2 linked regions of the Canis lupus familiaris genome follow. The main gene of each other region encodes a partner of the protein of the gene in region 2 in a complex. Links are inferred from orthologs where the notes say so. Each region holds a gene or a part of one and is shown on either strand. Other genes may lie near its edges. The genes, in order: VTI1A and STX12.

Evidence for each region.
Region 1: the proteins of STX12 (region 2) and VTI1A are in contact, whole or in part, in a crystal structure (PDB 2NPS), measured with the Rattus norvegicus proteins. The link is inferred for Canis lupus familiaris from reciprocal best matches to the Homo sapiens genes STX12 and VTI1A. Residues at the interface, in NP_075228.2 of Rattus norvegicus: Glu185, Ile188, Gln189, Leu191, Glu192, Ile195, Leu196, Val198, Asn199, Phe202, Lys203, Leu205, Ala206, Ile209, His210, Gly213, Ile216, Asp217, Glu220, Val223, Glu224, Ser226, Glu227, Val230, Glu231, Ala233, Ser234, Asp235, Leu237, Gln238; in XP_038945999.1 of Rattus norvegicus: Arg131, Arg134, Ser135, Arg138, Leu139, Ala141, Gly142, Ile145, Ala146, Glu148, Thr149, Ile152, Gly153, Met156, Asn159, Leu160, Asp163, Arg166, Arg169, Ala170, Arg173, Leu174, Glu176, Thr177, Asn180, Leu181, Lys183, Ser184, Ile187, Leu188.

Annotation. Positions count from the first base shown.
Region 1 is NC_049249.1:23,995,997-23,999,811, reverse strand, and holds part of VTI1A (vesicle transport through interaction with t-SNAREs homolog 1A), read right to left. Parts: intron 2,131-3,815; coding exon 2,060-2,130; intron 1,403-2,059; coding exon 1,341-1,402; coding exon of another isoform or gene 1,337-1,340; exon of another isoform or gene 1,330-1,336; intron 273-1,329; coding exon of another isoform or gene 248-272; exon of another isoform or gene 1-247. UniProt on the Homo sapiens protein: V-SNARE that mediates vesicle transport pathways through interactions with t-SNAREs on the target membrane. These interactions are proposed to mediate aspects of the specificity of vesicle trafficking and to promote fusion of the lipid bilayers.
Region 2 is NC_049223.1:71,974,990-71,979,249, forward strand, and holds the start of STX12 (syntaxin-12), read right to left. Parts: upstream 3,115-4,260; coding exon 2,997-3,114; intron 1-2,996. UniProt on the Homo sapiens protein: SNARE promoting fusion of transport vesicles with target membranes. Together with SNARE STX6, promotes movement of vesicles from endosomes to the cell membrane, and may therefore function in the endocytic recycling pathway.

The sequences.
Region 1 (3,815 bases), on a different chromosome or scaffold from region 2:
AGCTCAATTGACATAAAGCAGAAGGACTCTTTAATGAGATTTGACAAAATGGAGACATATGCAGAATATTCGTTACAGCTCACATCGCAGGGGCCCTCCCAGGGAAGCAATAGAGGACTTTTTTCCTTTTTTTCCCTTTTTTATTGTCTATAAGCACTGAAGCATTCCTTTCAATTGCCACTTCTGTGTGGATTTTGAGTGTTTCTAGATCATTTACATATTACTCTTAGGCAGAGAATTTGGTGTCTTATGGTTCTGAATTGGCACTGTGCCTGTAGGAAAAGCAGGGGCATGTGGAGTTAGGTCAGTGTTAGTTGGAGGTGTCGCAGGAACTCCAGGCTCGCTACTGATCAGCCTGATAGAGACCAAGTAACTATCCACTGCTTGTGCCATCCATCGCTAATGCAGCAAAAACACTCCTAATAAATTATTATATACAGATACCTGAGTAGAGATGATTTTCCTTACTCTAAAACAGTTGTCTCTACAGTATTAGTGCTAAAAGATTTCTTCTGTAAAATCCCAATTAAGTTATTCTAGAGGCGATTCTTGACATTCCTCATTCACATTTCCAGCTACAGTCCCAAACTGAAGGTTATGCTAGATGATAATCTTATTTGGTAGATACTGAATGTAAGAAAGTACCATGCTAGATATCCTAAGTAAAAAATGGCTCTGATTTTCAGAACAATGAAAACATTTCTTACTTCCCCCTTGAAAAATACAGAATATAGTGTATTACCCAGGCATTCATTTATTTTCACTTACTTTCCCAAATATCTTCCATCAGTCAAAGGTTAATTAACGCACATAAAACACTGACATTTGTTTGCTCGCACATGTGAATTCAGATTCTTTAGATAATATTTAAATTTTAAAAATCATCTTTAAATATATGTAAAATTGAAATATTTCCCCAAACAGCATCTCTTAAAGAAATAAAATGAAAACAAGGCAACAGAGAGAGAACACAGCTAATACCCGCAGGCCCGCATTCCTTCTATAAGAAGGAGGCTATCGAAATAGAAAATAAAATCGGTCTGTTCCTGCCATGGGGACTTCCTCGGGCTATGAAAAAAGACTTCATGTCTAACCCTAATTTTTTCCATAGCTTGAGGTAACCCCCCTAGCTCAAACCTTCTCTCTAATCTAAGCTACTCAGCATGTGTCTCTGTCCAAACAAGAGTTAATATCAGTGCTCTGTTATTTCAAAAGGGTCTTGACCCAGGGTACTAAGAGCAGAGGCTTGCATGCCTGGAATATGGCCAGTTGCAACTAGATGAAAACCGTCGTTTCAAAAAAGGGAGAGAGAGGAAGATAGGTCCCTACCTTACTCTTACCTTCGCAACATCCCTGTCAGAACCCTGGAGCTTTTCCCCAAGTTAGCATCTGTTTCCCGAAGCTAGGAGGAGAAAAGGAATGTTAAAACAAAACTTCGTGCAGTTGGATCATTTTGCAAATGCACTGGCAAGCAGTAATTGTTTTTCATGGATGGAAATCCAATTAATAATAGATACTTAAATACATTAAAATACATCATGACACCTACACAATCTCTGAAAATTCTTAGATTTAAGAAATTACATGTAATAGATGATCCCAGGAGCATTAAACTGGATACTTGAACCGGCGATAAAAGCATGTCTCTTAGGCGGACAATGCTGAATATACATCTCGTAATTAAAATCCAATTTTGAATGCGTGAAGTCCTAGATATATGAACGGAAATGAAGTAAACTGAGGGAGGATGAGACATCACTATCTTTACAGCTTTCATTCTGTAAGACTTGACATACTCCAAAGTCTGACCTTCTCAGTTATAGAGCTAAATAAAATATCTACCTGGGGGCATTTAAGGATGGGGAAAGAGTCAGCTTCTTTCTCCATTCCACTCTTTTTCTTCTCCCCTTACTCGACATCCCTCAACTACCCTTGCCATTTTTATACACACTTACATCTATGTCATCACTACTGTCTATGGATGTGTTGGAGGCCTTTTGTTTTATGTCTTATCATTTACCGAATTTATGAAAAGAATTTTGTATCCCTTCTTACTTACTCGTTCACGTGCACGCTGTATCTTTTCTCTGTCATGACTGAGGTTTTCCAACATCTCCTGGCCAATTTGCTCTATTGAAAAGGAAATTTGAGTGAGGAAGGGTGGCTTTTGGTGTAAGTGGAAACAAACTCTAGGGGTACCACGATGGCAGTGGCACAGAGTTCATGTTTAATAAGTGTACATTACATATCGGACACATAGTTCTTATACATAAAAAATATTTTTAAAGTATTTAATAAATTTACCTATATATCTTAGATATGATTACATGGGATTTACAATTCAACCTATAGAACATAACCAACAAGGCAGTGATGATTGAGAGGTGATACGACTTGCCGAAGGCCACCTCAGCATATTTGTTATCTGCCAAGATGCAAGATGAAAAGCCCAGGTCCAATGGTCTTCCAATAATTTTATCATTACATAGGAATCTAGTCTCGGTTTTGCAGGTTACAACTAATGTTAATGATTCTACTCTACCTCCCCCACTTTATTATTGCACTGCTTTGCGTATGTAGGCAAACCTCCAGTTAGAACAATTTTGATTTTAATGTATTCGTCCCATACACAGTCCTCAGAATCTCAACTACTGCAGCTTATTGCTAGTGGAACTCTCTCTAGGCTTTTGCTCTCTTGGAGCAAGGGTTCCGTTAGTGTGTTCTTAGCTGCTGTGGATACTTGAGTCAGGATGAGGTGCACTTCACACATGGCTGAGGAAAGCTCAAGCTGCAAACAGAACTTCCATTTATACAGGAATAGGCAGGTTAGAACATTCATTAAAAAGCACGCTGCTGAGTTCCGATGAGGTTTTCCTCTGCCGTGATCATCCCATTTGGTTGGCACTGGTCGGCTCTCCTTCTTTTACAAGACTCTAGGTATGTCCTAACCTGACAAATATTCAGCTGCCTTGAATTAAATTTTTTTTTTTAGACTCATTCTCCATCACCTGGGAGGTACCTTATTCTATAATAGAAGAATGACAAATCTGACACACTTGTAATACTGGCAACCTATCTGACTACCACGTATCTACATTTTTTTTTTTTTTTTCTTTTTGTATTGTCTCTTTACCTACAACCTATACAACAACTATCTCTGGCTTATAAATTTATTGCAACACTAAACAAGCATCTATTACTATAGCAAATAATTTAATGAAATCATTAGGAAGTCACCATGGTAGTTATTTGGCTCATGGATGTATACCAACAAACTTTTCAGAGGGACATCCTAAAAACTGTGGAGCAGTGGTTAGGCCATATTGAGAGTTTAGATTGGGAACTCACACTGTGTGAGCCTAATCCTCAGTGCTGACGCTTACTGGCTGTGTGACGTTGCATATGTTACCTAGCTTCATTTTGCCTTAGTTCTTTACTTCTAAAATGGAAAGAAGATTATTCTATGTCAAGGGGCTGTGGTAAAGGTTAAATAATTCAGTTAGAATACTTAACACAGTGACTCGCCTATAGCAATAATAAGCATTTGTTGAATGATGATGAATGATATTAAGAACCAATGGACTGTTCCCCCCATCCTAGGGGATTGGGCCCCCTCCCATCCTAGGTCTGCCACAACCCACTGGAACTGGGTATCACAAGATAAAAGATCTGTCCTACCTTTCTTACAAAATTGTTGCTATAGTCAAATGAAATTAACCTAAGTAAAAATGTTTTGAAAGCTATAGGATACCATACAAATGCATGTAATTGCATAATACATGGGAATCAATGCACTTAGTAAAAAATCATATGTT
Region 2 (4,260 bases):
GTATGAATCTATCAGATATTAGGGACTGAGATAAGTACTAGAAATATAAAGATGAATAAGTCATGCCCCATGTTTCTTCAAAGGAGCTAACAATCTAGCAGGGGAGGTTAGACACACCACATGAGAAAGTTCTACAGCCTCAGGCATTCCCCAATTTTCTATGGAGAGGAAAAAATGTCACTTGTAACTTGAAGTGCTAACTGCTGGGATGCCTGCCTCAGCGGTTGAGCATCTGCCTTTGGCTTATGGTGTGATCCCGGGATCCCGGATCGAGTCCCACATCGGGCTCCCTGAATGGAGCCTGCTTCTCCCTCTGCCTAGGTCTCTGCCTCTCTCTCTCATGAATAAATAAATAAAATATTTTTTTAAAAGTGCTAACTGCTACAAATATAATATTAATTAAAAAGTATAAAAAGGCTAATTATTGGTCATAAGAGACAGATCTGGTTTCAAATTCAGAAATTGTCATTTGTTTGCTCAGTAATTATTTAAACTTTATCAATCTGTTTCCTAACCCATAAAAAGAAATAATATTGGTAATTACTTAAACGGAGTTGTTAAAAAATTAAGTAAGATAATGCATATGAAGCACTTTTCAAATTGCCTGGCACACAGAATGTACTCAAATGTTAGCTATTAGTGTTATTAATGGTTGACTCCAATAATCCCTTGAGCCCAATACCCAACCAACAGCTAAATCTTATCAATTCTGTCACCACAGAAGCCTATCCTTTCCTTCCTTTTCATTTTCACAGTTCCTGACTGGTGTCTCTAATTCCAGTTTTTCCCTTCCAATTCAATTTATACATTCCTAAAGAACTAAATCCAAGGGACTCCTGGGTGGCTTAGCTGGTTAAGTAGCTGCCTTTGGCTCAGTTCATGTCTCAAGGTCCCTGGGTCAGGCGCCCTGCTCAGTGGAGAGTCTGCTCTTCCTTCTGTCCCTTCCTCCCACCCTCATCTCCACTCATTTTCTCTCTCACAAATAAATACTCAAAAAAAAAAAAAAAAAAAAAAAGACTAAATCCACCCCCCTTTAGTTTAGCGCTTAAAGCCCTTCATGTTTGGGCCCCAACTTACCTTTCCTTTTTTTTTTCCTAATATTTTATTTATTAATGAGAGACACAGAGAGAAAGAGAGAGGCAGAGACACAGGCAGAGGGAGAAGCAGGCTTCATGCAGGGAGCCCGACGTGGGACCTGATCCCGAGTCTCCAGGATCACACCCTGGGCCAAAGGCAGCGCTAAACCGCTGAGCCACCTGGGCTGCCCTCAACTTACCTTTCCAACGCAATTTTCCACAACTTTCTAGAATCCCTTCTAGCCAAATTAAATCACTCTACTTTTCTATATACACCCCATGCTTTCCCACTACCACGCCTTGTTCATTTTATTCCCTCCTCTTCCCTTCCTCACTGTTAAAAGTTCAAATCCTTTCTACTACTTTCCAGACTTGCTCAAATGCCACAATGGGTTTCCCAGATCCCTCCCAAGTGAAATTGGTATCTTTTCCCCCTGAATACCTACTCAATGTTGTTATACCTATTCTTCAGTACTGAACCCTTTCAACTTTATACTTCAGTTGTTACGTACTCCATAGGCTCCCTGTTGAAAGAATCCAGGCTATGACAGTTCCTATACTCAATATGAGTATATCTAATAGTCAAACAAACATTTGTAGAATGAAAATTTCTCAAACAGACATTAAGGTTAGATTTAGCCTCAACAATAAACTTTCAGCCTTGAACCAGAATCTTCCTGACCTAACTGGTACTACAGCTCCCTCACAAAAGGAGACATTGGAACACAAAGTACTACACTTTCAAATCAGTGGTCATATTAATGTTTTTAAATTTCTATCCTAACAGGCCACATATTTTTCCTTCCACTTCCAATTCACCTGGTCTCACACTCTTTCCATCAGAAACTTTCCCCCTCTTTATATATAGAACATAATTATAATTTAGGACCAACTGAGTTCTATCAACAGAGTAGAGCCAAGCTCACAAAAACACAATAATAAAGGATGCTGATCACCATTCTTTCCAAGTAAAGTTGTGCCACTAACCTGATTATAGGGCTCTCTGCAATGATCTTCAGGCACAAGAACCTGCCTGTATTTGTCTCAATCAGCTCAGTCTTACTCAGACCCAATGATGGGGGTGGGGGAGTAGTTTTAAGACAAGCAACGACATTCTGAAATCCACCACTAACTCTACCATGTCTTACTTCCTGTGTGATTGTGATCCTGAGCTTCTCTGTGTATGAGATTTGTTCAAAAAAGCAGCTAAATAGGGAAGGAATGCAGAAGCTTCGTCAGCTTGAAATCCAAATAAATGTGCAAATCTTTGCTACAAAAGACAAAACCATGTCAAGGGGAATGTTTTCGGTGAATTCTCTTTATTAAAACATAAGTCATTTCACTCCTCAAACACAAGTCATTATATCTGATTTCCAAATTCATTAGAGGAAGAGCTGGGTATTAAGTCACCCAAATACATGCACTCCCCACTTCCCTTAACTGAAAGCTGATTTCCAAGGAGCAAAAAGCTGAGCAGAATGTAAACTTAAAGTCTAGATCAGTAAACAACTCCTGATCCAAGCTGGCCAAAGAGGAAAGGGCGGTGGGTGGGGGTAAGGCAAATGACAGGAAAAACTCGGCTGACCACTGCGCCAAGTCAACTCACTCACTACTCCCGAGATGACACACACACCCCTCCCACCCCAGGGCTGTCAGGACTGCTGCTTCGGCCCCAATATCATGAGGGCAGGACACCTGAGAAGAAATTCAAGCTTCAGCTGGGGCTGGGGACCCTCGGGGAGCCTGGGCCTGACACACTCAAGGATGACAGCTGCCGCCCCCGCAGTGGAGAGCCCGAGACTGCCTCAGGTGTGGCTTTGGCCGTAGCCCGTAGCCTCGGCCGGGCTCCGCATCCCGGCAACCTCACCCAGGCCCGGCCCCGGGACGGCCCCCGCCCCCCAGCCCCGTCCCCCAGCTCACTGGCTTGGCTGATCCGCTGGATGTTGCCACTGCACGTCTGTATGATGCTGTTGAAGTCCCGGAGCTGGGGCCCAGAGGACCCCGGGTTCCGATACATGTCTAAGGGACCGTAGGACATGACGAGGAACTGAGACCGACTCTCCCGGCACCGCGCTCCTACCGGAAGCAGCCGCCAGACTGAACCCGCAGCCTGACGGGGAAACCGAGAAGAGAAAGGGCGGGGGAAGGGGCTCGGGATGCGTGCGCACTGGCTCCGCCCCCACGCCGCGCGCACGCGTCCGCCCCGCCCCGCCGCGCGTGCGCAGGCGCCGCTGGAACTGGTGCCGCGGAGAGGCGCTTAGAGACTGGCCGCCTGGGCCTTGGGGAAATGGGGCGGGGCGATGACGTCACGCGGTTAGGGCTCGGATTGGAGGAGCCGGTGTGACCGTGTTGTTTCTCGCCGAGAGCACGGCGACGGGAGGCGAGGATTCTTGATTAGCATAATACTGTACCAGATGACCTCAGCCCTAGCATCCTATTCTGTTCTATACTGAGAAGTCGGGCCCATATATGGGAGAATTCCACACCCCTGTAACTCAGAGCGGTAACCGAACTCCTGAAATTCCCCACTCTACTTCCATCCTGTAGGGCTTTGGTAGTAATTGCGGAGCACCTCTAAGGTGTACAGGTCGCTTTCATTACTCCCTCCACCCCTCTTCTAATCCAAACAATAAAGCGATGATAATAATAGTTATTGAGCACATGCTATGTATCAATCTTCACCGCAATTCACTTGTTCATAGACAAGGGACAATGTTCTAACTATCTTTACGTTCAGAATAGATAATGGAAAATCGATTTTTTTTTTAATGTTGAAGCAAAGTAACTCGTCAAGAGTTATTTACCCCTTTACAAAACGGAGAAAACTAAGGCCAGAGGGGTTAATTTGCTTTTCTGAGATTTGACTGCAAAACCCAAACACTAAGCTAACTACGTCTTCATCTTGCTACTTCCCTAAAACGCATTCTCATATTCCCAAATTCATTCTCCATCTAAATCCTTCCCAAACAGCCTCTTCATTTACTGTATATCCCAAACCAGGTTTTTTTTTTTTTTAGAGAACTAGATTCTCAAATTTTAAAAAACATTCCCTTGAGGATGGGAGAAAAATCATTCCCTAATTTTGAGCATATGACCTCAATGTTCCCACAGAAGACTGCATTTTGTGAACTTATCATAAAGGGACAGACGTGGGTAGGATTTGGGTTTGGGAAGGGATCAAGAT